7 linked regions of the Oryzias latipes genome follow. The protein of the gene in region 6 interacts with the protein of the main gene of each other region in a pairwise test. Links are inferred from orthologs where the notes say so. Each region holds a gene or a part of one and is shown on either strand. Other genes may lie near its edges.

Region 1 (4,092 bases), on a different chromosome or scaffold from region 6:
ATGGTTGGCCCTCAAACATTTTCGTCTCACCAAATCTGGTCCTCTTTGGTTTATAGACAAAGTGGTCAAATGTGGAGGCTCCTATTGTTGCAGATCCTGGATTTAATATGTTGCTTCCTTAAATGAAAAACCTAAAAACGTAATTGAACGTCGATCCTCTATCTATAACATACAAACAATCACTTGAGAATCCATAAGAAAAATGCAGGAGTCGCTGTGTTCAGAAGAAGACACAGAATCCTATCAACAATGGAAATGTCATCATCTGCTTTATCAATCAATAAAATGCAGTGAATGAACCAAAGAGAAATCTAAATCGATCATGGAATGACTTTTCTTCCTTTGGAGTAGAGGACTTGGGCGGGATTGGACCCACCTCCTCCAGCGTTAAAAGTACAGCAGCATGGATGGAACAGATCTCTGATCCTCGGAGCACAAACCAGATTGTTTTTCTTCTCAAAGTGAGGCCATCGCACAAACAACGGTTTGTCTCCATGCAAGTGTGTGCAGCTTTGGGGGGAGTTGAGCAGCAAACTTTGCTGGCAGCTCCAAAGGAGAATGACTTCACTTCTTCCTGACGAGGCAGCCCTCCCCCCGCAGCCGATGCCAGATGTTTCTGTGCAAAGAACCAGGCTGAGATAAGCTCCACACACTAACACACATCAGGTCAAGACCAACACATGTGAGACGGGATGTTGTGTGATTTCCTGAACAATGAAGGGGGGTGAATGATAATGTGTGGATAACATCACATGTTTGTGGTTCGAGGCTGCAAAGCCTGCAAGTATCCAGTCGGCTATGTGAGCTCTGACCACATACAGACAAAATGATTGAATTTAAACAGAGCTGATAACAAGAATCCATCCTGGCTCCTAAAGAATTCCTGAGAGGGCCTCTGACTGCTCAGACTATCAGAACGCATTTAAACTCAGCTGGACAAACAAAGTGAAATAATACACCTGGGAGGTTTAAACCGTAACTGTGGATATTATCAGGATGAAACATGCCGCTCACACTGACTATTGACTAACGGAGGGGCAACAAAACAATAAATCTACCCTTCCTTTTCTCGCACTGAGCTGCCAAGTGACTGGCATGATCAGGACAATACCTGCAGGTATTTCTGAGCACACGTTACAGTTGCTTGTGCTCACATTCTACAAGGAATCATCAGGGTGCCCATGAAGATTCTCCTCTGATCTGCTCACATTCCTCACCACTTTCCTCACAGGGGTGGAAAATAACCAAATCCCAGAGCTTAAAAGAAAACAAATGACGGTTTTGCACAGCCTGAGCCTTGACTGCAGAAACTTCCTCCTCCTCCCCACGTTCAGAGCCCGCCCCACATTCAAAGCTATTTTAACGGCCGTCCTCCCTCCATCAAACTCCACAGTCCTGCAACAGTCCACAGCTGTGAAACACTCGTCTCCTCGTCTTCTCCTCTGACAAGCAGAAAGTCAGCCGCCATGTACAACAGGAGCATCGCCAGCGGTCCTGGGCTCACCATCACCAGGCAGAGCCGCAGCTACACTTCAAGCGCTGCTCCCCACAAAGCTCACAGCGTGTCCGGTCTCAGCTTCATGGGAGGCTCCCGCATCTCATCTGCCACCGGGCGTACCGTCTCCTCTTCCTTTGGAATGGGTGGAGGGTTTGACCTGTCCAACGCCATGGACCAGAGCTCCGTGCACCTGAACGAAAAGGCCACCATGCAGAACCTGAACGACCGTCTGGCTTCCTACCTGGACAAGGTTCGCAGTCTGGAGGCGGCCAATGCCAAGCTGGAGAAGCAGATCAAAGAGTACTATGAGCAGAAGGGCCCGGCAGCACAGAGGGACTACAGCAACTACTGGGCCATCATCAATGACCTGAAAGACAAGGTATGGTCTGTGCCTCTGCCACCTGCAAATGTTTGCCGTTCCTGTCAATGATTTCCAGACAACACTTTTTTAAAGTGAACATATCTGTGTTTTCTTTGCGGCTGAAAGATTCCACAAATGAACCACAAATATTCAGCATGACAGCTTAACAGGAGGAAGTCAAACGTGCCCTAAGGACACAATTCAGTTGATGTAACAGAAACATCTGAAGTTGTGTAAACAGTCATCAAAGCGTGCCGCTCTGCACATGCCTGACACTAACTAACCCCATCCCCGCTGCAGATCAACGGTGCCACCGTCCAAAATGCCAACATCCTGCTGCAGATCGACAACTCCAAACTGGCTGCTGATGACTTCAAAACCAAGTAAGCACTGATTCAGAGGGCCTTCATGCAGGCTCTAGCGGGCAGTTGTCTAACATCAGGCCTCTTCCTAACTTACCAGGTTTGAGCACGAGCTCATGATGCGACAGTCAGTTGAGGCTGACATCGCTAACCTCCGCCGCCTGCTGGACCAGACCACCTTGACAAAGGCTGACCTGGAAATGCAGATCGAAGGTCTGCAGGATGAGCTGGCCTACCTGAAGAAGAACCACGAGGAGGTCAGTGATGTGACACCTGGTTTTTATAGTCTCTGCAAACAGACACCAATGCTGACGTCCCCTGATGTTTGCAGGAACTGGCAGCCATGCGCTCTCAGCTCACGGGCACAGTCAACGTGGAGGTGGACGCTGCACCTCAGCAGGACCTGAACAAAGTCATGGAGGAGATCCGTGCACAGTATGAGGCCATCACAGACAAACACCGCCGCGACCAAGAAGCCTGGTTCACTGAGAAGGTAACAGGAGTTCCTCTGTCAGCAGGCCAACCTGTCATCACACGTATAATCATACAGACCTCTCACTCTGTCTTCTTTTCTAAATTCTAGTCATCAGCTCTCAGCAAAGAGGTGGCCGTTAGCACAGAAGTAATCCAGACATCCAAGACAGAGATCAATGACCTGAGGCGCACACTCCAGGGCCTGGAGATCGAGCTGCAGTCCCAGCTCAGCATGGTAAAGACAAACGTTTGTTTTAAAATCTTTCCTTATATGACCAAAATCCCCAGATCGCCCAGAACAGAGGGCGAGGAGCGAAGGGGAGGATGGGAAAGAGAGGCAATCCTTAAGGAATGAAGGGAGGATGGAAGGTGGGAGGGAGACACTTTGTTCTGGGAAACATTTCACAGACATCTGCCTGAACTCTGGAAGTCATAAAAAAGCTGGAGGAATGAGAGGCTGTTTCTGGTTGGGGTTTGGGTGCCCAGCTGCAGTCAGTCATTCAGCAGGAGCCTCCCACTGCCATTGTGTCACTGAGGAGGAGAGGCAAAGGGACACTTACCTTCAGAGCCAGCTCTCTTTGTTCTCTTACAAAACAGGAGAAAATGCAAAGCAAACAAACCGAGTGACATACTGCATCCAGGGTGGGGCGCGCTGAGCGCAGCTGCAGGATCAGTGATCCACAGCTTTTCTTTACCCCAACAGAAAGGTGCTCTTGAAAACACGTTGGCAGAGACAGAGGGCCGGTTCAGCGCCATGCTTAGCGGCTACCAGAACACAATCAACATGCTTGAATGCGAACTAGGCCAAGTGCGCGGCAGCATTGAGCACCAGGGCCAGGAGTACAAGATGCTGCTGGACATCAAGACCAGGCTGGAGCAGGAGATCGCAACCTACAGGAGACTGCTGGAGACTGAGGAGGCCAGATAGACAAAGGTGCACACAATCACAAACGTTCAAGTAGAAATACATGATTTGATCCTCTTTGACTCATCTTTGTCATCTCTTCTTCTCTCCTTTTAGATAAATGACTGCAGGTAAGTTGGTTTATTTGAGGAAAAGTTCACAGGAGGAACTTGAAGAATTGTGCTCAACCAGTTTCCTCCCTGCCTCTTAACAGGAGGCTTCAATGACACATTCACAACCACCACTGTGCCCACGTCCAGCCAAGAAGTCCAACATGCAGGCCAGAAACCAGAGGAGACCAAAAGGCTCGTTTTCCCAACATCTGCTGTCATGAGAAGAAGAGCTGATGTGCGGCGCTGTGTGTGTGTTCATGTTTGTGTGATCTGCCAAAGAAAATAAACCTGCTGGTGAAGATAAGACCTGTGTTGTTCTAACTTCACTGTTCTCCCACGACTTCCAATTCTTTTTCCATGACCTCACTTTGTTTGTGTGG
Region 2 (4,239 bases), on a different chromosome or scaffold from region 6:
TTCAAAGAGAACACCAATTGATCTGGGATCAATCATTACCTCAAGTACTTAAAGAATTGCCTATTATTTAAAAAATCAGAAAACTCAGTTTCCACCTTATTTATTTATCCTTACCTCACTTAAATTCAGGAAAAATAAAAATGCAAGGATACTTCCCACCTTTGTTGTTGACAGTAAGTTATCAGAGCCCTCAGTGATATCAATGCATTATCTTTATTTTGCAACTTTTACAGCTAACTAATTTGAGCATTTGCAACACAGAGTTAAAGAAAAATTATAAAGATGAACCAATCCCCCATCTACTGCTAGCTGTGGCTGTTTAGCCTTCTTACCTTGCGCCCCTTCCCAACAGGTGAAACATTGTTTTCTGTCATCAGACACATTATTCCAATGGTAAAATTTGAAGAACTTGTTTATGAAGTTTTCTTTAAAGTTTCCTTTTCTGTTTTCAAATGCTAAAGTTGAGTTAAGACAAGGTGTAACTGCGTAGCAAACGTTTTCTTTTGCAGTTAAACATTCCAATTCCATTCTTTTCCCTTCAGCAAGATTTTGCAATCCCTTCTTAAGTTAATTTCATTAAGAATACTTGAGTGTAAATATAGCAAGTATACTGTCAACCATGTACATAGTGTAGGAAGTACACTAACTGAATATTTCTTCAGATTAAATTGAAACATTTTACGTTTACAATACATAGATAGTATATAGAAAGCAAACTTAGTTTCTACTTTTAGCATAAACTAAGTATTTTTGTCCCACACTTTAACAGACTACCTTTTGCTAAGGGTTGTGATACTTAAAGAAAAAAATATTTAAATTGAATGCTCTGTCACAATAAAAACAGTGATGAGAAAAAATAAACTTGTTTTTAAAGTCTAACATTGCAAGTGCTCATGGGGCAGAACTGTAAGATCTTGTGCTGGCAGACCTGTGACACAATCATGTTCTCACACTCAAAACAATTGTGTGTAGTAATTTAAGCCTTCAAGTTGTTGTAACTACAGATTAAAGTGCACATTTTAGGGACAAATTCTATTTAAATCACAGAGCACTTCAGTACTAAATGTTTAAACATGTACACTAAAGTCTGTGCTGGACCTTTCTAAATCTACCCAACCCTAAAATGCTCAAACGGCACAGCCAGAGCTAGGACTAAGTCACAAGTTGTTGTTGACAACCACTGGCTGTTGCAGTGTTAACATCCTAATTCTCAAAGGGAAATAGAACAACGTCTTGAAAAAAGTTAACGATCTGATCACAGTAAACTTCCAAAACATACAATACCCTAAGCTACAAACAAGCAGCAAATGGCCCCCCTTCGGTCACAGGTATAGACCGTACAGTAAGTCAATGGTCACAGTCAGCACCGGGGTGTTTGGGGTTTGTTCTTTCAAATAAAGTTTTTTTAAAACGTGTGGGTTTACGTGTTCTTTTAAATAAAGTTTTCTTTAGCGTATGGGTTGGAGCAGTAAGTTTACGTCATCATTTCGACACGGCGGTAAAAACAAATCAAAGGGCGGCGACAGAAGCGAACTAATGTTGTTTTTCTGCTCTTTTTTGTGCGTTTGAAGCGCTGCTTTCCTTTTGCTTACAGGTAGAACAAACCGCATTTTATCTTTTGAACGATACGTCACAGTTTTATCCGGATCGACGAAGTTATCATCATCAAATTCGAGCTCAGATTGTGTGTTGGTACTTGCTTGCTAGTTTAGCTAATTTTACAATTTTTGTTGCATTCCGTCTGCATTGTTTATATGCATAATGTTGTAATAATTTAGTTTATATTCTTTTTGAAGTACCCCCTCCTATCCTTCCTTTGTTTAGCAGTTCACCATGATTTCCACTGGAGATGTGCAGAGTGGTCTTCGTAAACTGGAAAGCCTTTTACGAGTGATCAAATACCCAGAGGATGTCGATTATAACAAGTAAGGCTTCAAGTGCCACAATTATGTCATGTAAATGTGTCCTCTATAGGTCATTTCTAATCCTGAATGCCTCCCAACCACTGCATGCTGCTGAATTAAAGACCCACTCCACTGAAAATGCTGTTTTTAACATGTTATTGTGGCATTTTTCGGATGATGGAGGAAAAATATATAGAAAATCATACTCAAAATTGCATTTCTTAGTATGTTTTTATTTAAGTGGTATGAGCAGACAAAAAAAAGCCCTTTGAAAAAGATTGTATTAGTGACAGAAAATATCCTGTGTTCCCTCCATTCTGATTAATCCACTACTAGATCCACATACATCTTTGTTTTCCTTTAGCTGGCATCTGGCTCAAAACTGTGCGGCTGGATAGCTCTGAAATGCTTGCCATCATTATGGCACTACTAATGTTAGGTTGAGGGTGTGAGGGGGTGTAAGCCAGCAGAAGAACGAGTAATCAGATGGGCGACGGGTAGTGGGGTGGACTTTCTTTGCCCCAAATGTCCTGTCTACAACTCAGTGGAGAATTTCTAATGAGCTACTGCTGCTCTGCAGAAGCTACGTCTGTCCTAGAAAATGGGACTTGTTTTTTTATTTGGGCTTATAGCGGCATAATCATAATTAAAGGACCTCTGATCTGAGAAACACTTAAAACAGACCAAAAGATAATTGAAGTGGGACTTAAGTTCATTTTTGTATCTACAGAGAACATTTGGGGCTTTCTAATGATACCAAAAGTGCAAAGGTGTGGGGCTCTGGCTATTATAGTTTTTGTGGATTAAAAACATTTTTGATTGAAAAATATATTTTTTCTGGTATTCAGAAAGATACAATTCTAATAAATACAGGTTGATCTAGAAAACAGAAAATACATTTTATTATAATGGCAGCAAACTTGAATAAAAACAAAAAAAGTTGTAATTTTTTCCAGGCTTTCCAAAGGAGATCCTTCAGCTTTTTTGCCAATCGCGAGCTTCACCCTCACCACCTTCTCTCCACCTTTTGCTGAGCTGCTCATGACAGCTGGATTTGAACTGATTGGGAAAACAGACCTCCGTTTCACAGATACTCTTTACAAGGTACGTTCAGGAATATACCAACGACTCTTCATCAAACGGACCGGCCTCTACCTCTGTGATGGGGCTCTTCCTGCCTCTTTATCTCGACTGTTTTGTGTTTTAGTTGCTCCGGGATGTTTTCCACTACAAGCCCGTACTCTCCAAACAGCAGTTCTTCCAGTTGGGTTTTTCTCAAAGGAAAATTTCTTTCATTTGTGACATCATTAACTTGGTGCTGCAAAAACACGGCCAATTAAAAAAGGTGTGTGGGCTCTTGTATTCATTTGATGTTGAGTTGTACGTTTCTGTCATAATAATTATAAACATATCCGTCTTTGATGACATTTAAAAATCTGTTTTTACAGCAGATCATTTTTTTGGTTCAGGTAATAGTTCATCTCTTTGCAACTCTTCGAACACTACTGCAATTATATTTACTGTCAAGCAGTATATTTGTAGATTTGGTGGCTTTACAGTTATTCCGGAATGTTTATAATGTTTCTTATTTGTCTTGGGGAAAACAAATAGTGATGTCTGATCAAGTTCTAGAAATGAGTTGTTTGGCTGTTTGATTTGTTTTCTTTTTTACATGCCACCTTTACGACTCACTCTGATCATCTTTTGATCTATTTTCTAAGTGTCCCCAGCAGTCTTTTAATGATGATTTTGCCATTTTTAGCCCCCCCAAAAAAGAAGAAACCTGTCATTTTTCTAGGACATAATTTCTGCAGAGCGGCAGAAGTTCACTAGAAATTCAAATGAATTTCTAAGTTGAGTTTTAGAAATAGAGCAGAGCAGGGAACTTGTGGCCCACTGATTGTAGTTTCTTTGTAACAACTACAAGCTTTTGCCAACAGCATTTTTTTGTCTGTTCCTGAAGAAATACTCAGAAAATGCTAATTTAAGCTTTTTTTCTTCATACACGTCCTCCATCATCAGAAAATGCTGCACTAACATGTTAAAAACACAACTGTCATGCAAGTTTAAAGGACTTTTAATCTCCTTGTGTGTCTTTTGCAGCCCAAAGTCAGACGCCCTGTCTCACACAGTGATGTTGGAGTGGAAGGTCATACAGTAAACCCTGATCCTCCCAGTGTAAGGCAAAGTCAACTGACACGAACAATTAATAAGTGCTGTTCTTAAAGGTTATATGCAACTTAGCATTTGCAGTAGTATTTTTTCACTTTGGCAAAAAAGTCTTAAAATACTTGATTGTATGTTAAAGCAACTCTTCCCTACCTTTTGAAAATTC
Region 3 (4,224 bases), on a different chromosome or scaffold from region 6:
TGAAGATCCTGGTGACGAGGCCGTGCGAGTTCAGCTGGAAAATGTTCATAATGGGTTTGTGTCTGTCTATCATTCTGAAACGCGTAACAAAAAAGACATTTGCAGCATTTTTTTGTTTGCCAACTTCCTAGTGTTTCTATATTTACCGTATATTTTCATTTAAGTGTAAAAGTAGAGTACGTTTAACATTTTTATGATTTTAATATTAACATAATTCAAACTTCTATCTCAGATTTTGTTTTCTTGTGTGGATTTTTGGTCCAGTGTGTTAATACTGTACGACAAAATGACAAAACAAATAAAAATAAAGCCACAGAGCTGAGGTTGTTAAAGGAATTGAGGTCAAACAAAACAAAGTGAACCGTTTTGAAGGTTAAATTCTTAATAGTCAATGATCCTCTGGACTTTTTTGACGGGATTTGGACGTAACTGAACGCTGAGACTCTAATATCCGACGACAAACCGCCCCGACCGCCTGCAGCTTTGCTCCGCTTTGAAACCGGAGCTGGACTGATGAAAGGCGGCGGCGGCGGCTCGCTCTTCTCACTCAGGCTCACCTCCTCTATTCCTGCGATGTTGTTCACCGCCAGTTTCTTCAGAGAGCCCTGCAGTTTCTTGTCATCCGCCGTCGCCGTCTTGTGAACGACCTTTTTCTTCCTGCGAGCGGTTCCCTGAGGGACAAAAAAAAAAAAAACGGGTGTTTGTGGAAAGAAAAGAAAAAAACAGATGAGAGAGTCGACTGAACCCAAATGTCAGAAGCAATTAAACACCGGGTCACGCCGTGTATCTCGCGTTTCTGCTTGTAATTTATTCATTTCAAAGCAACGGCTGTGATCTTCTAACAGGCAAAAGCTCGTCGAATTAAAGCAACAGTACACTTATTTTATCATATTATATTTATATATTTAATTAATATATTTGATATTTAAAGTTCATGCAAGACCAAAGCGTCTTGCATGAACTTTCTATGATAAATCTTTCCTACAAATAATCTATAACTTACGTCAATCATGTGATGATCCCAAATAAATGATAATAGTAATAATCAACATTTAATATTAACTGTAGTATTTAATCTGGTTTAAACTAAGATATTTGTCTACAATTATGTTTTTAGCTTTGACCCTCAGATGCAAACTTGCAGAATTGATTTGTTTGTTTTGTCTGAATTCTATAAATGTGCTCTGTTGCTGTGAATAAAGGACTGATTTGGTTAACTCTGTGGCGTCTATTGACGCAAATGTGCACCAAACTACTTCAGTTCCAAAAGTACTTTAATTTAGCAAAACACAAGTGACTTTTCCCATAACTGGAAATAAATTCAGGCATCAATGGGTTAAAAAAAAAAACCACAACACTTAAATTGTTTTTTTGTTTTGGCTCAAACAAAATTATTAAAATTAACTTTATTCAACCCGGTAAGGAAATTAAGTTGTAGTAGCAGGATAAAATAAAAATGTAGGGATTATGTACATTTAGTTGGCTTTTAAGTGGTGGCACATAGCTGTGAACAAACCCACAGGGGCCTCAGATGAAGGGGCCAAAAACAGAAACAAAGAGAAAACGCTGAGGTCAGCAGCAGCGACCCCACAAATGCTGAAAAACCCGTTGCACTCCAAAATGAGCCACAGAGGAGACCATAACAGGAAAAAAACTCAACAGCAGAGAAAATGCTGGAAGCCATTACCTTTCCTCCTATTCGGACTTGGGCCTGAAGCTTGGCGAGCTTTTCCTGATTCATAGTGTTCTGGTTCTTCCAAAAGAAACACAACAAATGTCGTTATTCTCAGTCTGGATGTGCAGATATGGAGACAAGATTATGAGATCATCATCACTGTCAGGACAGTTTTTATTATTTGGCAAAATACAGTTAGCTATGAATCTTATGCAGTCACTTTAAATGACATCAGACATGTCTGATGTCATTTAAAAAAAAGTAGCTTAAACTCATAAGGATTTGTGTTTGAATTTAATGGATTTAACTTAATTTAAAAAAGTTCACATAACACCACGTCAACTCACAATCAATCCAAATATAAAGTAAATAAATTGGAATTTGGTGATCCGTCAAACAGTCTAACCCTGAGAGTTTTCCTACAGGCTCGCTGAAGGGGCTGCACGATCATGTGAAGCTAAACCACACCGAGTTATTAGGCAACAACCACCGTTATTCCGATTCTACCAGTAACAAACAATACAAATAGAACACCAGACGGCCGGGTCGTCTAGATTATCGATGCTGGAGACTGTTGTAAGGCGACTATCAAAAATAAAAGATGATTATTTTGAACACGAGTGGAGCTAATCGGGTTGCTAAAACGCCAGGCTATCTGAGCTAATGCTAGCATTGCAGCAAAGTAACGCTCCATCCAAAGTGGGTTCATGACTACACTGTTAGCTTACAGCTACTTTAGACCATTTAGATGTTTACAAGCAATGCAATGAATTCAATTTACCTGAGCACGAAGAAAATATGTAGGTTCCGTTGAACTTCTCTTGCTACAAAAGGAGCAGTGAGGCTTACAGAAGCATCGACGAGTTTACGGCATTAAGGAATCACTTCCGCTTTGAGTTTTCACAATAAAATCCTTAAGTGTTAAGATTCGGGAATCTTTTGAAGAATCGTTAAGTAATTGTACAATTATTTAGTGACAAAAGTAATACAAGTGCATATAGTTTTCTTAAAACAGCATACAGGCTAAACGATTGTGATGATTATTGCAGATTGGGGCTTTTAAATGCACGTTTCTGCTTTTGTTTCCTGTCTCCGGCCGACGTTTTGCTGTCTGCCTTGACTAATGGGGCACATCGGCGGAGCACGCGGTCGTGTGGATATGATGTCACGTGACCCAGGCCTCAAAATGGCAAGAGGAATCTGTCGACCAATAGGAAGCCACTCGCGCACATGCGCGTGCGCGTGTGTACGCAACGTTCGGCTTGAAAATCACCCTGCACGGGCTTTAATTTTGAAAAGCAGCCGTTGAACGTCCGGGTCGAAAGTTGTGAACCAGCACTGCCATTATATCACCCTGTAGCCGCAGACGTGAGGAAGAAAGCCGCGGAAAATGCAGCCGTCCTCGGTGAACATGGCCGCTTTCACGCTGCTGAAGGTCCTGGTGTGTCTGTGCGGGCTCCACGGTCTGGTGGACGGCGCCAGCGGCAGAGGTGAGTCCGACGGGGGCGCGCTTGCGGCGCAGACGCCGGGGAGTAGTAACGCCGTTCCCGCAAGAAGAGGAGAGCCACCTGTCTGTCTGTCTTTGTGCCCGCATCCTGAAGCGCTAAGCCCGCATCCTGTTGACTGCTTCACGCGCTGCTTCCTTCTTAGACTTCACAAGTTGTTCTTCTGCTGGTTCAAAGATCTCACCGTTTGCCCAGTGTTTGTGTTCATTTTTATCCAAAATAATCATAGTAAAAGTTGGTGATCTGAATGGATTTCAGGGAATGTCAGTAAAATTTTTGAAGGACTTTATGCATGAACTGTAACGAACTTAACACTTCTTCTTCAGTGCTTTTGTTGTGCATTTACTGAACTTGTGTGCACATGATGATGATTTGGTCCAAAGATGTTTTGGAAACAGCCAAACTGATGCAGAACAGGATGCATCCTGTGGTTTATGTGTGTGTAAATGAAACTGGGCTCAAATATGAACCACACTAACAGGGAATTCAGCGCCTTTAGTGATGCTGAGCAGGTTGCAGAACTTAACAAGGTAGGTAGGTGTAAAATAAGGAAATAATGAAAGCTCCACTTTAAAGAAAGTTGTGTCTTTACAGCTGCTTTCAAACAAGACAGAATAACATGATAAACATTATGCTGATGGGAATAGAAAAAGCTAAAAAAAAAAAAAGGACTGAATTTGTTATCGGGTCACAGCGTGCTCTTTATCCCGTGGACCTTGAGCTTGGAGTAAACAGTTGATGCTGAAAGGATTCAGACGATAAATTCAGTGAGCTTTTCTCTAAATGGGATTATCTTTCGCTGCTGACATTGTTTGAAAATGTGAAGACAGTCTGACCTCAGGCTGGCCTCGCCTTAGATGCATGTTTAAAATAAATAAAAGTCAAAGTCGTCTGCTAAGGAAACAGATATTTCCTGCTGAGCTGGTGATGGCATCCTGAAGGAAAACAAAGTGGGTTGAGATGGAAAATGTGCTCATTTGTACCAAGTATGTAATCTTAGAAAACAAGTGAAATGACAGGAGTGAACGCTCAGCTAGTATCTGA
Region 4 (3,500 bases), on a different chromosome or scaffold from region 6:
GAGTCAGTCCGACAAACTGACGGGTTGTGTTTTTACGTCTGTAACACTTTTGCTAATAAACATCTCAGACCAAACTCTGGTTTTTCACAGGAAAAACCTGCAGAATCTCAGACCGACTGATAGTTTTTGACACACCAAAACAATCTAAGTTGGTTGCCACGGTGATGTTTTCTGACAGACTCATAATTTTATGATCATGTATGATTGGAGTGGGGGCATAGATCATCTCCAGAAGTCAAACTTTTGATTCCAACTTTTCCTGAAGCAAAGGTCTAAGCCTTAGACCTTTGTGTTCTTTAAAGGATGATACCGCGGCCGCGTGTGGGAGGAGCTACTGGTTCTGGTCTGATCGCTGCATGGAGCGATGTGTGCATCAATGCATGGTAGACACTGAGAATGTGGAGAGATCAGGTTTATTATTTTGAAGAGTTCTACTTGGTAATCATGTTTCCATGTTTGAGTTCATAAAATCATCCCAGAGAAAGTCTCTGTTTCAACTCCTGCAGGGAAAGCTGCGTCTCAATCTGACGCCCGTGTTTGCATCTCTGACAGAGTTTGAAGCCAAAGCCTCTTTACCTGCTTTTCCTCTCTACCTGTTCACCTGTTCACATCCTCTGCTGCTGAGAGTTGTTTCCCCCGCGCTCCTCAGTCTGTCCTACACAGAGAGCACAAAATACGGTCATCATAGGTTGACACGGTAGTCGGGGCGCTCCAGCGCAGCACAAGGATGAAAGAGCCGGACGCAGGTCATAGCGGGGAGAGAGCGGGTTAAGCAAATGAATGGAAGAAGGCGGCCCGCTGAAGAAATATTCAATATTGTACACATTTTATTATTAGTCTGAACTATCTTTTATTTAAAAAAATCTTTTATTTTATCAGTCCAGTACGAAAAAAAACATCAACAAAAGCTGTGTTGGGCGGTTTTTGGCTGGGTCTGGCGGTTTTCAGATGACTTTTGGGCTGGAAAACTGTGACTGTATCTGGCAACACTGGCGCAAACTCTCTGTCATCAGAAAGTTGGTCTCTGCTCCGCGGCACGTCAAGTTCCCGGCAGAAGACCACTCCGGACAACCAGAGTGTTTATTGAAGCCGCCCCGCGTGCCTCCTCCTGCTATCAGCTCTGCAGGTCTCGCCCGATAAATACGAGCTCATTAAGGAAGCTGTTTTTGACGTGGCACTCGCTTCGTACGGAGCCATCAGCGCCTTTGAAATGCCATGAAAAATGAACAAACTAAAATAAAATTTAATTATTATAAAATACTCATTATTTTCCAAAGTCACAGGGAGCCACAACAGATGGATGAAAGAGCCACATGTGGCTCCGGAGCCATGGGTTGCCGACCCCTGGTCTAAGGATTCTGAAAATCAACTTCTCCAGGGCGGTCTGGAAGCTTGACCTGATTGTGATCTGTCTTGCCCCCTCCCACAGAAGTCCCCAGCCAAAAAGCTGAGCCATGCTATCAGTAAATCTCTGGGCTGCGTCCCCATAGGAGAACCCCCCCACCCCATGTTCCCCGAGCAGGCAGAGAGACCATTAGAACCCCCCCACACTGTGTAAGTATGTCATCAGCTATCATCACACAGCAGGTATGTTCCCGCCCCCACCCACTCATTCTCATGGTAGATGGTTGTAGCATGTCGTTCTTGTCGAGCCACTGCCGTCAAACCTTACAGCTACGACGAAGCTTAGACCGCGTTCGCTTACAACCGGCATTTCTGAAGTTTAGAGAAATTCCAGGACAAAGTTACAGGAACCAGAGACCAAAAAGGGTCCAAGGACAGGAGGAGTCGTCCAGGAGGTCATGACAGAAGATCAGACCTCACTGGACTCAGGTCAGGTCAAAGGTCATGATCCAACAGTCAGAAAGAGACTTTAGGACAAACATGGATCCATGAGAGACGCTGCTGAGGAACAGGAACATCTGGAGGTTCCACTGGACCTCTGGACTGATGTTCTAATCAGACACAAGACGAACTTTCTGGAACATCTCATATTTGGCTGATCGTCTAAATAATGGATGAGGCCTCATCAATCCTGCCTCCGATCTTATAAACCATCGTGTTTATGGGATGAATTATGTCAGCAACTGGAGAAGATGATGGTCTTTGATTTATTTTTCTTCATGACATCTCAGTTTTCTGGTTTGTAGAACAAAGCATGTTATTTCTTCTCTTGGTTCTTTAGTCATTCGGTTGTTTGTAAGAATGAAACATTAAAGAGTCGTGGAAATGTTCATCCAAACAGACTCTGAATGAAGAAGAGAGTAGTGTTTATTTTATTTGATCTGTCCAACATTTTGCTTCTCTTCCATGAAGTGATCTGGGAAGTTGGGATCCGGAATAATCTGAGTTTGATCTCCTACAGGATCCTGGAAAGTCCCAGTCGTCTGGATGAAGAGCACCGGCTCATTGCGCGATACGCTGCCCGGCTGGCAGCTGAAGCAGGGAACTCTGCGGTCAGTTTTGGGATTCACTTCTGTTAGTTTGTTTTTAGGATTTAAACTCAACGTTTGCAGAAATCCTCAGTACTTGAATTTATCTAACAGTTTATGTTCGTAATCATCTGATCAGAGTCAAGATATCACCTTATTGGTGGCCCCTTCACCTCTGTTTTCATTTCTAGTCTGTACAGATGGAGAAACCATAGATTTGAGTTTAGTTCAGAAAACCAGTTTCTGTCTGCGCTGCTGGTAAAAAGGTAAAAAGGTAAATGATAAAATGGTAAATAGGAAAAGGTTGAATAGTAAATGACATGTACTTGTACAGTAGAGCGTTTTTCTACCTTCCTTGTAAGTCCAAAGCACTTTACACTCCCATTCATCCACACATTCACACACTGGTATCCTCAAGTCAGAAAATATCGACCAAAAAAGCTTTTTTTCAGCCTGGTTTCTGTGTTCAGGACTGTGTTGTTTCATCTGCTCAGCAGTGTGAACTCGGTTGTCTTTGTCTCTCCAGCAGCAGTGTCCACCTGCAGACCTGGGCTTTAACTTTGATGCTAGCAAACAGCAGAGGCAGCTGATCGCTGAGCTGGAGAACAAAAACAGGTAAAATCTGTACCTTCATGCGCAAACCAAAAAGGACCAAGGCCCCCCAGCTCAGCTGTCACATAAGGCTGAGGTGGGGGGCCTGTGGTTGTGGCTTACGGACATAACAACAGTACGGAGCACCTGGTCTATTTGGAGTCTCTAAATTGGAGACCAGAAAGTGTTCTAAAGGAAACCCAGAGGTTCTAATGGGAGACTTCAGTTCCCAAGAGAAGAACCGCTGATTCCTGAAAGGTGTGATCGAGAAGACTAGCCTCACGGATCTAAACCTGAAAGGTGATTCGTTATCAGACGTCTGTTTCAGAACGGCCATAACGATAGTGAAGCAGATTATTAGGTTAGGTTAGGTTAGGTTAGCAGAGGTCACAACCACATGCTAACCACACGATAACCACATGCAAGCCATGCCTTAACCACGCGCCAACTACATGTAACACTACGAGTTAGCCTGTT
Region 5 (4,007 bases), on a different chromosome or scaffold from region 6:
GGGGGGGGGTCTTTTAAAAAGTGACTTCTTTCTGAATCACCTTATTTTCAGACCAGCCTTGTCTTTGTGAACATTAGGTTTCAAATGAGAAACAACTACACAGATATGCTGACCTGAAGATTATTCACAACCACAAAAACAGAAGTATTTTTTTAAAAAACGTTTTAAATTAAAAAAAAAAAACAGTAATGAAGCCTCTAAAATTTTTAAAAGCTTTCACTTGGATATTTTGGGGGAAATGTTCATTCTTGAAGACAAACATATATGGTTCAAATTCCTATGAAGTCAGTATGCAGTTTTCAGATGCAATGGCAAAAATGCATTTCATTTCCATCTTTGAATCCCTCTTATTTTGACAATCAGGAAGTGGCCTGGTTGCAAAAAAGCTTCACTATTATCTCACTGTTGGCAGCCTCAACAAAACAAACTTGCTTTGGATGTGTGTGTTCATGCTGAGTCAAAGTCAGAGAAACTTAGACTACCAAATAGTTCCTTAGCACAGCTATAGTGCACTGCTACCCAGGGGATGGGTCAATGCACACAAATAATGAGATTTTATCCTGAATTTAACATTAACACTTTGACCCATAACAAAATAATAATAAAATAAATAAAAAATCAGGAAGTCAGAGTAATCTTAGTATTAATAAACATTGTTGCAATATGTTGCCTAGTTTTGTCTTTGCTTTTTGTATTGTATCAGAACAACTTTTATCATGGAAAATACATTCTTAAAAAAATGTATGCAAAGAGATAAATAGGCAAATAAACGTACTACATATTTAGTTCAAGAGAAAAAGTTGCTTTTAAATCGTTTACGTAAATTACTAATTACTAAAATATTGTAATAATTCCTTTTTTTTACCCTGTAGACATTTTACATCCTTTATGCACTAAAATAACTGCAGCTTGTCCAGTATTTTTAAAATAGTAATCATTGTTTAGATCATTTTGCAAAAACTTTAGAACACAGACTGAAATAACTTTTGCAAAATTTGGCTGTTTTCATCAACATTTTACATCTGTTTATTTAGTAATTTAAGTAAAACAATTTACAAAAAATATTATTACTTTTCTATGAATTATTATTATCCGTGGTTCCAAAAATAATTTAAGATTTTCCTCCTTGGAATAGGCAAAACGTACTTTTTAGCATGATATTCCTTTTGCCACCACTAGGTGACAGTAACTTACAATTTGAGGTAAAGTCTTTATTACGTCATATCCTTTCTGCTTTAGAAACAGGTATGGCGGCGGCAGCAGAGAAGTCAACAAAAGAGCGGCTACTTTCTGTGTTGGATGATTTGGAGGTGTTATCGCGGTAAAGGAAACAGCTCATATTTTGTTTTCCGTGTTGTAGTTAGGTAGCGACACAGTAGGCGGGTTTACGGCTTGGTCTGCACAGTCCTGATTCGAGTCCAGAAGTCCAGTGGAGAGTAAAGGCTCATGAGGCTTAGTTCACGCTTTGAAATTAAAGCCCCCCCCCCGGGGGGGCTTTAAATGGCCTCCGTTGTGCCGCGTACTCCACAGCTCCTCGTGCTGAATCCTCCATGTCTGCTCTTCTGTTTCAGGGAGCTGATCGAGATGCTGGCTCTGGCCAGAAACCAGAAAGTTCCTCAGCCAGGAGAGGACACACAGGTGAAGGACACAACTTTTTTATTCTAGTTCAACACTCCAAAAGAGCCACTCCAAAGAAAATTGTGTTTTTAAAATGTTCTTGTGGCATTTTAAAGATGGTAAAAGACATTTACAAAAAAAAGTATGCTTAAATTGTATTTCTGATTATTTCTTTAGTTAAATAGTTGTCATCAGGAGCAGATCATCTAAAAACATGAAAACAACAGGCTTGGCCTCAGCCATCAGGGCGGCCTCTCTCTTGATATTCCAGCATTTATTTGGATATGGCCATGTTTAAAAAAAATGAAGAAAAAAAACATTTCATGTTTTGGGTTTGAGCTGTGCAGCACTGTCACCTCTAGCCATTTGAAATGATGCTGGTCTCCATGGAAGCAAAGGCCACAGTCGACGTCTGATCAGTGCTGCTTCTTGTGTTTATTGGAGAGCCTGTTTTGTCTTCAGATCCTGGAGCTTCTGGTGCAGAGGGACAAGGAATTCCAAGAGCTGATGGAGGTGGCCCAGCAGCAGGGAAAGATTCATCAGGAGATGCAACTGTTGGAAAAGGAAGTGGAGAAGAGAGACAGTGACATCCAGCAGCTGCAGAAACAGCTGAAGGAGGCAGAGCACATCCTGGTGGGTTGAGGTTGTGTGTATTTTTGCTTCATCTGATACTGCTGTAAGGTGATGTAGTTACATTCACAGGTGCATTAGCAGAAATCCTCATTCTTCTAGCACATAGGCAGATTAAGCCAGTCTAATGCATTCTCCATATAGGCTGCTGTAAGCAGATCTATGGCTGTGCTGGCTTTAGCATTTGTTGAGTAAAAGTATAAAAACTCTAAAAGGCTAAATATCTTTTGCTGTAAAAAATTAACTCAATGTGTTGTAAATCTGGCAGTTTACTACAACTGTAAAAAAAAAAAAAAAAACCTGTGACAAATAATTTTTTTTGTAACATATATGTTGAGAGCTAAGTCAATTAAATAATATAGTTCAAAGTAATCTAAAGATTGCTTAGTCATCTGGGTCATTACAAATTTCACCACTGTCTGAAAGTGTAACAGTTTAAAGCAGTGCTTTTCAAATAGTGGGGTGCGCCCCCCCGATGCGATGCCGGGGGGGGGGGCGCGCTATAGTGGCGGTTTTAGGCACAGGTTATACAGACAATTGTCCGGTGCTCATATTTAACGTGGGGGCGGTGATGACAGCGGCTCAGTGCTTGGGGAAAAAATCTGCGCCTCTATTCGGTTCCTATTGTCTGTAAAATCACAGAGTTTGTGACAACCTGAAACCTGTGAATTCCTGTCCCTGTAGCTGCGCGCTCCCGTCTCCTGTCACACGCGGCTGCGTGTGTGAGAACGAAAGGGGAGGGGTAGTGGGCTCAGTCTGCCAGGTGAAACGGGGCACGCGGAGAACTGCAAGCCCTGTTGCCCAACACTAGGATCATCCCATGCCTTTTGAGGACTCAGCTAATGCTAATAATGTCATTCTTTATCAACTATTGTAGACATTTTGATGATGCTTCTTTTCCAGCACCTAAAACAGAAAGGTGTAGGAATGACGGGGTCACTGGATCCAGATCTAAGATCACACTTGGAAAGCAGCTTCTGTCAATCTAAACTGACTTTTTCTCCTTCAAGGCCACTGCAGTTTACCAGGCCAAGGAGAAACTTGCTTCCATTGAAAAGGCTAAGAAAGGTGAGCAAACACACTTGTCTTTCAGTCTGTGGATTTGGATGTATCATTTTGTGTCTGGTAACATCCAGATACTCAAGCAGCTGTGTGACTTCAGCGTTGACACTCAAAGATTTTAGTTTAAGGTTTTCGTTAAAGAATTCATTCCTTCTTCCATTTTAGGTAGCATCTTCATCTCTGCCAAAAAAAATAATTACTCTCTTGTGCCATCTTTTTGTATCGACTCAAGATTTGGCATAAAAAAACATTGGTTCTCATTAAATGACCTATATCATGCAAAATCAATTTTATTTTTAGCTTTTTATGTATTATATTTGTTAATTCCTCTTGAAAAACGACCCCAGAAGAGTATTTTGATCCTTTAATGCATTTCTGAGTTTTCCTCTAAAAACCTGCTCTCTGAGCACCAGCCCCTCCCAATCCCCAAAAACAGGCGGGTTTTCATATTGCAACAAAAATGAGCTGCTAAGAAAACCGGTATTTCATTTAAAAATTGATGGGGCGGCAGGTGCTTATGCAGGTGCTTAGGCAGTTTAGCAGATCGTCCAATGGTCGAAGAGTCGGCGGTTTGATCCCTGGTCCCACCACTCAACTGTCGTTGTGTCCTTGGGCAAGACACTTCACCCTCCTTGCCTCCAGTGCAGCTCCACTGCTGTGTGAATGTGTATGAATGTCCTGGTGATGGTCAGAGGGAC
Region 6 (3,500 bases):
TTCAAAAAACAAAACAGCAGTTGTTCAATACTTTTTTCCATTTGATAAGTTTTACTGTTTTTTTATTTTAATTTTCAGTGTTTCTTCAATTTTAAAATACATTTTTTTCGTTCATTTTCAATATTTCGTTTAAGTTTTGCATCCTTTTTGTAGAGGTGATCAAATGTTTGACATAGTGAGTAAAAGAACCCAAGAGTCTCCTCAACACATTAGAGTTTTATTCAGCAGGAAACATCCAGGAGCAGACAAAAACAGACGGGGGGAGGATCTTTGGTTCCTTCAGACCAATAAACCGGGGCACAACAGAGGAAATGAACTTTAGCTTTTGAATTTTAGTATTCATCATTTTAACAAAGAAGCAGAAAAAAGTTTAAAAAGAAAAAAGAAAGGGTTGGAGAAAAAAGTCCAAAAGAATCTGAAGTTTCTCTATTTTCCGTTCGGCTGTGAACATTTTTAAAATCATGGCAGACGCCAAACATTCCCTTAAAGTCAACAGAGATCCAACCGGGAAACAGAATTACATTCTCGTCAAAGTGCTTCAGACCGCCGCACACGACAGCAGGAAGCGAGCGTTGCATAGAAGTGCCGGAACATTCTTCTGCTAAAACCTGATCTGAGCTTCTGCGGACCAGGAGACAATCCCAGAGTCTGACTTCAGCCAGAAGCCCCGCGGCCCCCAGCAGGGGTGAAGCCCCGCGGCCCCCAGCAGGGGTGAAGCCCCAACGCCCCCCCAGCAGGGGTGAAGCCCCGCGGCCCCCAGCAGAGGTTGAGATGAGTCTGTGGGAAACGGCCTTCATCACTCCCCCTGACCCAGAACACTGCTGCCTAAAGACCAGTTAGTCTCTGTTGAGACTGGGTCTGACGCTAAACTACGTCCCACACTGCGGCTGACGCGCTGCAGGACCGCCCTTCCACGCCGCAGACTACAACATCAGAACGCGGCAGAAGTGACAACCAGCAAGAGGTGGAAATCAGATTATTGCAGGAAATGGGATTATTGCAACATTTGAAGTGCTTTGGAGAAGCGGTCTGCAGAGACGGACACCTGTTGGACCCGCCGGCCGTTCTGCTCCGTCTGTCCCGTTTCTTCCAGCGGCGTGTGAAGGAGGAGCAGCAGCTGTGGGGGGGGGGGCTGCTGCTGCTGCAGGAGCCCGAGGCTTCATTCCTGAGCCAGGGCAGCAGCGCTTGCTTCTTGGAGGGGGGCGTTGGGCTCCGGCTCACACTGGCAGGGGCGGGAGCAGGAGGCGGGCTCCAGCAGAGAGTCTGTGGGGGGTGGGGACGGGGAGTCGGTCCCCGGGTCGGCGCCTGGAGCCCCCGTGGCGCTGGATGGCTCCCCACACAGGCCCTGGACCTTCTTGTTTAGCTCGTTTCGCTCCACCTTCAGCGCTCGCCGCAGCTTCTCCAGCCGCTGGACTTTGAGCTGCAGCGCCTCGAAGTCTCGATCCCGCAGCGACTTCTGCATGCATGCACACGCACACACACACGCACACACACACACGGCATGTGTTTTGGGGGCTTTTCCAGACAGCACGTCTTCTTTGGAGAAGCACAGACAGCAGCTCACCTCCTCAGCCATCTCCAGCAGAGCCTTGTTGCTGCTCTCCCATCTGGAGCGGTACATGGCCGTCTCCTTCTCCAGCTTCTTGATCTTTTTGGTCATCTGAACACAGAAAAGTGTTGCTGGAGCAGCTTGAGCCACATTTCAAGAGTGGGCGGAGCCTCCAGGGCCTCACCTTCTCCATCTCCTGCTTGAAGGTGGTGAAGACTTCATTGCTCTTGGACAGCGTGGTCTGAAACTCCTCAAACTTCTCCGTGTACAGCGACAGCTGAGAAGAGAAAGAAAAGATTCAGGGAAAGCAGAGAAGACACGGAGCTGAGGGGGGAGAAGGAGGACAACCTGCTGCTTGAGGTGAACCTCCTGCTGTTTCATCAGCTCACACATCCTCTGGGACTCGATGGCTTCCTTCAGCAGCTGTCCGGGGAAAAACCAAATAACATTTGTGTCCCAGGACCCCGTGAACAGCACTCTGGGGTGTTTGGGTAAAAAACATCCTTACGAAGTCCTTCTCCCTCTCGTGCCGCTCCTCAGACTCCTTCAGCAGCTCCTGCGCCTGGTGCAGCTTTGCGTCCACCAGCTGCTGCTGCAGGTCTTTGTGCTTCACCACTTTGTCTATGTGCTGGTTGGGGGAGGGCACAGTTGGAAATGAAGCCTCCCTGACTGACAGCAGACTGAACCCCGCGGGGCAGGACCAGGACTTACCTCTTCCCTCAGCTTGTACTGCTCGTAGAGTTTCTTGAGCTTCTCGGCCAGCTCTGCGTTCTCCTGCCGCAGGCTGGCGTTTCTCTCGTTGTGCTGCTCCATCTGAGCCTGGATGTCGTTCAGCGTCACCTGGAAATGAGACGTCACCTCCTTCCTCTTCTCCTCCTCCAGCCGGGTTCTCTGTATGCCCTCTTCCTGCAGAGACAGTCACTGTTCCAGCTGGCTGCTCAGCAGCATCACAGCGCTGTGGGCTCCTCACCTTCAGGGTGCGGTTGTGTCTCTGCAGCTCCCGGCACAGGCTCTCCAGCTTGCTGCGGGCCAGGATGGCCTTGCTGTGCTCGTTCCTCAGGTTGTCCTTGTCCTGGACCAGCTGGCTCTGCTTCTTCTGCAGGACTCGCATCTGTTTTTGGGTGTTCCGGTGTTCTTCCAGCTGGAAAACAGACAGGTTTCGGTCATCACACGGACTGTTCCACTGTGCTGGAAAGACCGACATTTTGGAACTGAGGCGACTTCAGGCCATGATGCTGACAGACTAGAAAAAACCACACCGTATCATCATGACCATAAGGCACACTTAAAAGTCTTATATTTTCTCCAAAATGTACGGAGCGCCCTATGGTGCGGTGCGTCTCATGTGTTGTTGTGTGACTTTGGTAAAGAGGACGTAGGAGAGGACAGCATGACAACGGTGAGGAAAGAAGTGAGGACGTGAAAGAAGACACCCCCCAAATAGTACTAAAGTGCAGGTATGTGCACTAAGCAGAACAACATTGTTTGGAAAGCCTGAATATGCTGCACAGAGACACAATAATGAAGCACAGTTAAACTGCAAGCTATCAGCTACACAGAGGAACATGGGAATCGAGCAGCTGCAGAGAATTTAAGATGAATGAATCCATGGTTCACAAGTGGAGGAAGCTGGAAAACAAACTCCAACAATCAAGATGACACAGCTGAGTTTCCGTGGAAACAAGGCGTGGCGGCCCAAGTTGGAAGAGTGACTGGAGCGATGGACTAAGTGTCTCTACAGTCACCATTCCACTGAAGGCAGAGATGAAAATTGAACATTTTCATGGAGGCCCATCGTGGTGCTTTCGTTTTATGAAACGCCGTCATCTTTCCATCAGGGCAACGACTACAGTGGGGCAGTAGTGAATAACAATGAAAAGCTGTTCATCTTCTGCTCCTATTGCAGCGAAAAGATCACCGACAAACACATCCAGCCACATGGACGAGGTGC
Region 7 (4,106 bases), on a different chromosome or scaffold from region 6:
TATTTCTTTTCCAGGTACATTTTGAACTCTTTTACCTTATTATTTTTAGACATTTCTGAGGGACTATTCAAACTACATTCCAATTCATATCTGAGACAAAGCAATTTCAATAAGACATAATAAATGGATGAGTTATAAGACCACACTCCAAATCACACAGAGCAAATCTTAAAGTTGAAATACCTAAATATAGACAGCGCGTGACTGGTCCCACCAGAGACTTGATCACTTTGGACCACTGCTAAACTGCAACAAAGAATGCATATTGCTCTGTTCCCAGAGCTGCTTCAGGACTTTCTGAGTCTAGTCCATCTCATTCCAGCTACCGAACAGACGAACAGAGAAATCAAAGCTACAGCCTCAGATCTGGATGAACTGAGAGATATCAGTTTTTGTAATGATGCATTTGCAGACCAAAACGTTCTGCACGTTCAACACCAACAAACCACAGTTCAAAACTACCGTAAGCTGAGGGGACTTCCCCAAACTATAAAATATTTAAAGATGTAAAATACGTCATTAGAAGCTGTGTCTGTGCGTGCAAGCATGCAGATATTTTCCTGCCAGTCAACGACGATCACGTCTGCATCTCTAGTCGGAAATCCACTCAGTGCAGACAAGAAAACAGACAACATTGTGCTGAGTTCAGCACTTGTTCAGTTTACAGCAAGCGAGCACAAGAGTTATTGCCAAACACACATGAATATAAAGAATCAAGTAAATGCAAAATCAAAGAGCATACACACCTCCACATTCCTCATTTAAATAATCAATTAACTTAATTACAGATGTTGTTTGAATTAACTCATCTAACTGCTGAGACAATCCTGTAGCTTGTAGAATTATACTTTTTCACCTTCAAATTTGTATACAAATCCATTAATATTAAAATTTTAATACGTTTCTGATAATCTTTTGAAAACAAAGTGAATAAACATTTATTTTCATTCTTTAATTTATTTAAACATTTAATAAGCAATGGGATGCAATATAATTGTTTTTGAGGGGTTCCTCCTTTTAGATTTATAACAGAAATAAAAAAAAGATAACAGAGTAGAGTTAAGAACAAACAAATAAAGAGAAACAAAGAAAATTCAAATTATGATACATGGTAGGTATTTACCCAACACACACACAGGCACGCACATACACACATATATGTGTGCATAAATATGAATATAATTAGTTTTAAATAACTGACACTCAGTATTTGAATAACAGTAGTTCGACACATGGCTGCAGGATTGAGGTCTGGGCGGCAGGGGGCACTGACGAGCTTTTTCAGACGAATGGCTGCAGCCTCGGTGAGACTCGAAGAAGAACTGAAGGCTACGTCGCAGCAGCATGGCGGCTGCAGAGCTGTCCCCGAGTCCGGGTTTCCCCCCAAACCCTCCCGGTGAGGTTTTGCCCGAAGCCCCGGGGAGCCTCCGGGACCTCGGCCTGGAGGTCCTGCAGCGGGAGGCCGGGGAGCTGAAGAGTCTGCGCGGCGTTGAGGGGCTGCTGGAGAGGCTGAAGGAGGAGAACGTCGCCCTGGGGGAGCAGGTGAGCGCCGCCGGTCTGTTTGTAAACAGCTCGGGTAGAGCAGCTGTGGACCTGGTTCTGTGAGAGCCGAACACCCGCTGCCTCCAGCCTTTGAGCAGCACACTCTTGGACGGTTTCAGAGCTGTCAGCTCTAATGACAAAGACATTGATAGTTAAACAGAAGCGGATGATGAGTTCACCTGAAATCAGGTACGGAAGCGCGCATGCGTGGTTCCATCTAATGGCCTGCAGATGTCAGAGGAAGAAGATGGTTCATGAAGAACTTTTTTTAAATTCTATTTTTTCCTTTAAACTATATAATTGTATTTTCGTGGGTTAAAACTGCTTTTCTGTTTTTAAAGTAAGAATTCGTGGTTTTATTGGTTAAAGTCTGACTTTAGTTTAAAACAGCCGTTTTTATTATCAAATAAAACTGGTTTTAAAATATAAAATGTTTTTTAATCTAACCGTGTGAATCTAAAACATAAGGGGTCAGTGATGCTGTCCTCTTTGAGCAGAAGAGATCGGTTTGTGGAAGGGAGAGTTTGGTGGCAGGGTTGCCGTGGAGACACCTTAAATGAGGAGGAGGTCCTGTCAGTGGAGTCGATGGTCGTGTCCTCAGGCTGTCTCTTTGGAGGAGCTGAGGAGACCTCTGCAAGGAGGATGCATCAGCCTCTGAACGTCCAGGAAAAGGCTAAAGCCAAAGTGACTTCCAGCTGTGTTTTGTTCCTCAGAGCAGATGAAACGTGTTCACACTGTTGGAGGGAGTCTGACAGGAAGTTCTCTTCTGGGAAACTGGTTCATGACGCGTTTTATGGCTCTATTCTGGCTATTGTTCATTCATTGATTCATTTTCTACCGTTTTGTTCCTTTCGGAGTCTATCCCAGCCACTTGCGGGCGATGGCAGGGTACACCCTGGACTGTTCGCCAGTCTGTCGCAGGGCCACAATCACACACCCATTCACCACACACCTAGGGACAATTGAGCTATGAAGCATGTTATTAACTATGACCTGTAATTAGTTAATCTGTTTTCAACCAAACCCTAATCATGTCTGTGAAAAGCCTCATTTTGAGGTATTTTCATTTAAATTTATGACGACAGAAAAAGATCAAAATACAACTAAAATAGTGACTTTCTGAAGTTTTGTATCATAACAAACTTCCAACCTTTACTTTTACACCAACAAGGGGTATTCATTATAATTAAATCCAATTAAAAGAACTTAAACATCAGGTCTAGAGTGCTCTGATTGATCAGTAGGAGCACTTTTCTGTGTTATCCAAAACATGTATGAGATCTTCCTGTTAACTCTACATTGACATACTTTATTCCTCAGTTTAATTTACCAGAGCCAGCAACTCGTCAAGTCGCTTACATAACAGATGAACTGTTAGTGTGCAGGAGGACATCTGTGAGGGTCTGCATTTGTTTCTTCAGAGCATCATGACCAGAGGAACATGCTTGTGTGCTGCAGGTCCTGACCGTGAGCAGCTCCGTGCCGCCGAAGGTCTCTGCTGCTCTGTCTGCTGCAGAGGAGGCCGGCTGCAGCCTGAAGGAGCTGCTGCAGAGAGAGGAGCTCATCTCCAGCAAGCTGCAGCAGGTAGGTCCACAGCCCCCCCATCTCAGGAGGAGACTCGGACTGCAGCTGTCGGAACCACAAAGCGCCTCTGAGTATTCCTGCAAAGGTCAACGATCAGCTTCTTACTTCAATGAACTCCTTAAAGACCCACACCAATGAAAATAGTATTTTTGGTGTTTTAACATGTTCTTGTAGAATTCTTCTGATAACGAAGGACCTATATTAATGAAAATGAACATTAAAAGTACATTTCTGAGTATTTATAATGTTTAAGTCGTTGTGAATCAGGAGCAGAGGAAAAGATGCTGTTTGAAAAAAATCCTACTTGTGACGTAGAAAATACGCCAGAAGCTCCCTGCTCAAGCTCTATGTAATTGGAAGAGAAGAGGGGCGGGGTTGTTTTCAACTAACAGTCCCCCCAACAACTCAGAGATGAATTTCTGGTGAACTCCTGCTACTCTACAGAAAGTATGTCCTAGAAAACGAGTCTTTTTTAGATTTCGGCTAAAAACGGCATCATCATCATTAAAAGACCACTGGGAACGCTTTGAAATCAGATCAAAAGATGATCAGAGTGAGACTTAAAAGGAAATTTTTCAAATTAAATCTTTTTCCTTATTTAAACCAATTTCTTATGCTTTCAGACGTGTTTTATGAAATTAAATACAAATCTTAAGTTTCTCTGCTGAGAGTAATAAAAGCTTTTCCAAGTGTTATTCCATTTAATAATGTTCGTGCATTTTAAATGGGGTCAAATGGGGGCCGGTTTAGCTCGTGCTGGGTTGCGGCACCTTCCGTCCGTGAAACCAGGGTTCAAATCCAGGCCGCTCCCTATTCCCCTCTCTGCTGCTGTGCCGGTCCCAAGCCCAGTTGGATTGAGAGGGGTTGCGTCAGGAAGGGCATCCGGCATAAAAACATTGCCAAGTTAACCATGTGACCTTCCTCAAGGGAGGGTTGTTTCACTGTGGCAACCCCTGATGGGAGAAGCCAAAGTAAAAGAA

What was found.
Region 1: the proteins of txlna (region 6) and keratin, type I cytoskeletal 13 interact in binary tests that used the Homo sapiens proteins (3 or more experiments, as listed by UniProt). The two-hybrid records come from large-scale screens. The link is inferred for Oryzias latipes from reciprocal best matches to the Homo sapiens genes TXLNA and KRT15.
Region 2: the proteins of txlna (region 6) and cep44 interact in binary tests that used the Homo sapiens proteins (3 or more experiments, as listed by UniProt). The two-hybrid records come from large-scale screens. The link is inferred for Oryzias latipes from reciprocal best matches to the Homo sapiens genes TXLNA and CEP44.
Region 3: the proteins of txlna (region 6) and btf3l4 interact in binary tests that used the Homo sapiens proteins (3 or more experiments, as listed by UniProt). The two-hybrid records come from large-scale screens. The link is inferred for Oryzias latipes from reciprocal best matches to the Homo sapiens genes TXLNA and BTF3L4.
Region 4: the proteins of txlna (region 6) and dystrobrevin beta interact in binary tests that used the Homo sapiens proteins (3 or more experiments, as listed by UniProt). The two-hybrid records come from large-scale screens. The link is inferred for Oryzias latipes from reciprocal best matches to the Homo sapiens genes TXLNA and DTNB.
Region 5: the proteins of txlna (region 6) and med4 interact in binary tests that used the Homo sapiens proteins (3 or more experiments, as listed by UniProt). The two-hybrid records come from large-scale screens. The link is inferred for Oryzias latipes from reciprocal best matches to the Homo sapiens genes TXLNA and MED4.
Region 7: the proteins of txlna (region 6) and rint1 interact in binary tests that used the Homo sapiens proteins (3 or more experiments, as listed by UniProt). The two-hybrid records come from large-scale screens. The link is inferred for Oryzias latipes from reciprocal best matches to the Homo sapiens genes TXLNA and RINT1.

Annotation. Positions count from the first base shown.
Region 1 is NC_019859.2:29,293,824-29,297,915, forward strand, and holds keratin, type I cytoskeletal 13, read left to right. Parts: upstream 1-1,292; 5' UTR 1,293-1,466; coding exon 1,467-1,877; intron 1,878-2,159; coding exon 2,160-2,242; intron 2,243-2,321; coding exon 2,322-2,478; intron 2,479-2,552; coding exon 2,553-2,714; intron 2,715-2,804; coding exon 2,805-2,930; intron 2,931-3,398; coding exon 3,399-3,619; coding exon of another isoform or gene 3,620-3,623; exon of another isoform or gene 3,624-3,629; intron 3,630-3,716; coding exon 3,717-3,720; 3' UTR 3,721-3,730; intron 3,731-3,813; 3' UTR 3,814-4,016; downstream 4,017-4,092.
Region 2 is NC_019859.2:27,433,464-27,437,702, reverse strand, and holds the start of cep44 (centrosomal protein of 44 kDa), read left to right. Parts: upstream 1-1,439; 5' UTR 1,440-1,594; intron 1,595-1,824; 5' UTR 1,825-1,833; coding exon 1,834-1,925; intron 1,926-2,844; coding exon of another isoform or gene 2,845-2,860; coding exon 2,861-3,008; intron 3,009-3,111; coding exon 3,112-3,249; intron 3,250-4,007; coding exon 4,008-4,082; intron 4,083-4,239. UniProt on the Homo sapiens protein: Centriole-enriched microtubule-binding protein involved in centriole biogenesis. In collaboration with CEP295 and POC1B, is required for the centriole-to-centrosome conversion by ensuring the formation of bona fide centriole wall.
Region 3 is NC_019875.2:4,321,099-4,325,322, reverse strand, and holds the start of btf3l4 (transcription factor BTF3 homolog 4), read right to left. Parts: upstream 2,801-4,224; 5' UTR 2,457-2,800; intron 1,754-2,456; 5' UTR 1,742-1,753; coding exon 1,688-1,741; intron 672-1,687; coding exon 558-671; intron 1-557. Other genes in the region: txndc12 (thioredoxin domain-containing protein 12), read left to right, coding at 3,066-3,165.
Region 4 is NC_019880.2:83,019-86,518, reverse strand, and holds part of dystrobrevin beta, read left to right. Parts: intron 1-1,429; coding exon 1,430-1,554; intron 1,555-2,365; coding exon 2,366-2,456; intron 2,457-2,958; coding exon 2,959-3,047; intron 3,048-3,500.
Region 5 is NC_019879.2:14,006,626-14,010,632, reverse strand, and holds the start of med4 (mediator of RNA polymerase II transcription subunit 4), read left to right. Parts: upstream 1-1,207; 5' UTR 1,208-1,247; coding exon 1,248-1,321; intron 1,322-1,571; coding exon 1,572-1,638; intron 1,639-2,079; coding exon 2,080-2,250; intron 2,251-3,257; coding exon 3,258-3,315; intron 3,316-4,007. UniProt on the Homo sapiens protein: Component of the Mediator complex, a coactivator involved in the regulated transcription of nearly all RNA polymerase II-dependent genes.
Region 6 is NC_019869.2:26,641,672-26,645,171, reverse strand, and holds the end of txlna (alpha-taxilin), read right to left. Parts: intron 2,691-3,500; coding exon 2,520-2,690; intron 2,456-2,519; coding exon 2,261-2,455; intron 2,178-2,260; coding exon 2,058-2,177; intron 1,973-2,057; coding exon 1,898-1,972; intron 1,827-1,897; coding exon 1,734-1,826; intron 1,661-1,733; coding exon 1,565-1,660; intron 1,457-1,564; coding exon 1,160-1,456; 3' UTR 197-1,159; downstream 1-196. UniProt on the Homo sapiens protein: May be involved in intracellular vesicle traffic and potentially in calcium-dependent exocytosis in neuroendocrine cells.
Region 7 is NC_019881.2:11,288,139-11,292,244, forward strand, and holds the start of rint1 (RAD50-interacting protein 1), read left to right. Parts: upstream 1-1,306; 5' UTR 1,307-1,344; coding exon 1,345-1,542; intron 1,543-3,000; coding exon 3,001-3,126; intron 3,127-4,106. UniProt on the Homo sapiens protein: Involved in regulation of membrane traffic between the Golgi and the endoplasmic reticulum (ER); the function is proposed to depend on its association in the NRZ complex which is believed to play a role in SNARE assembly at the ER.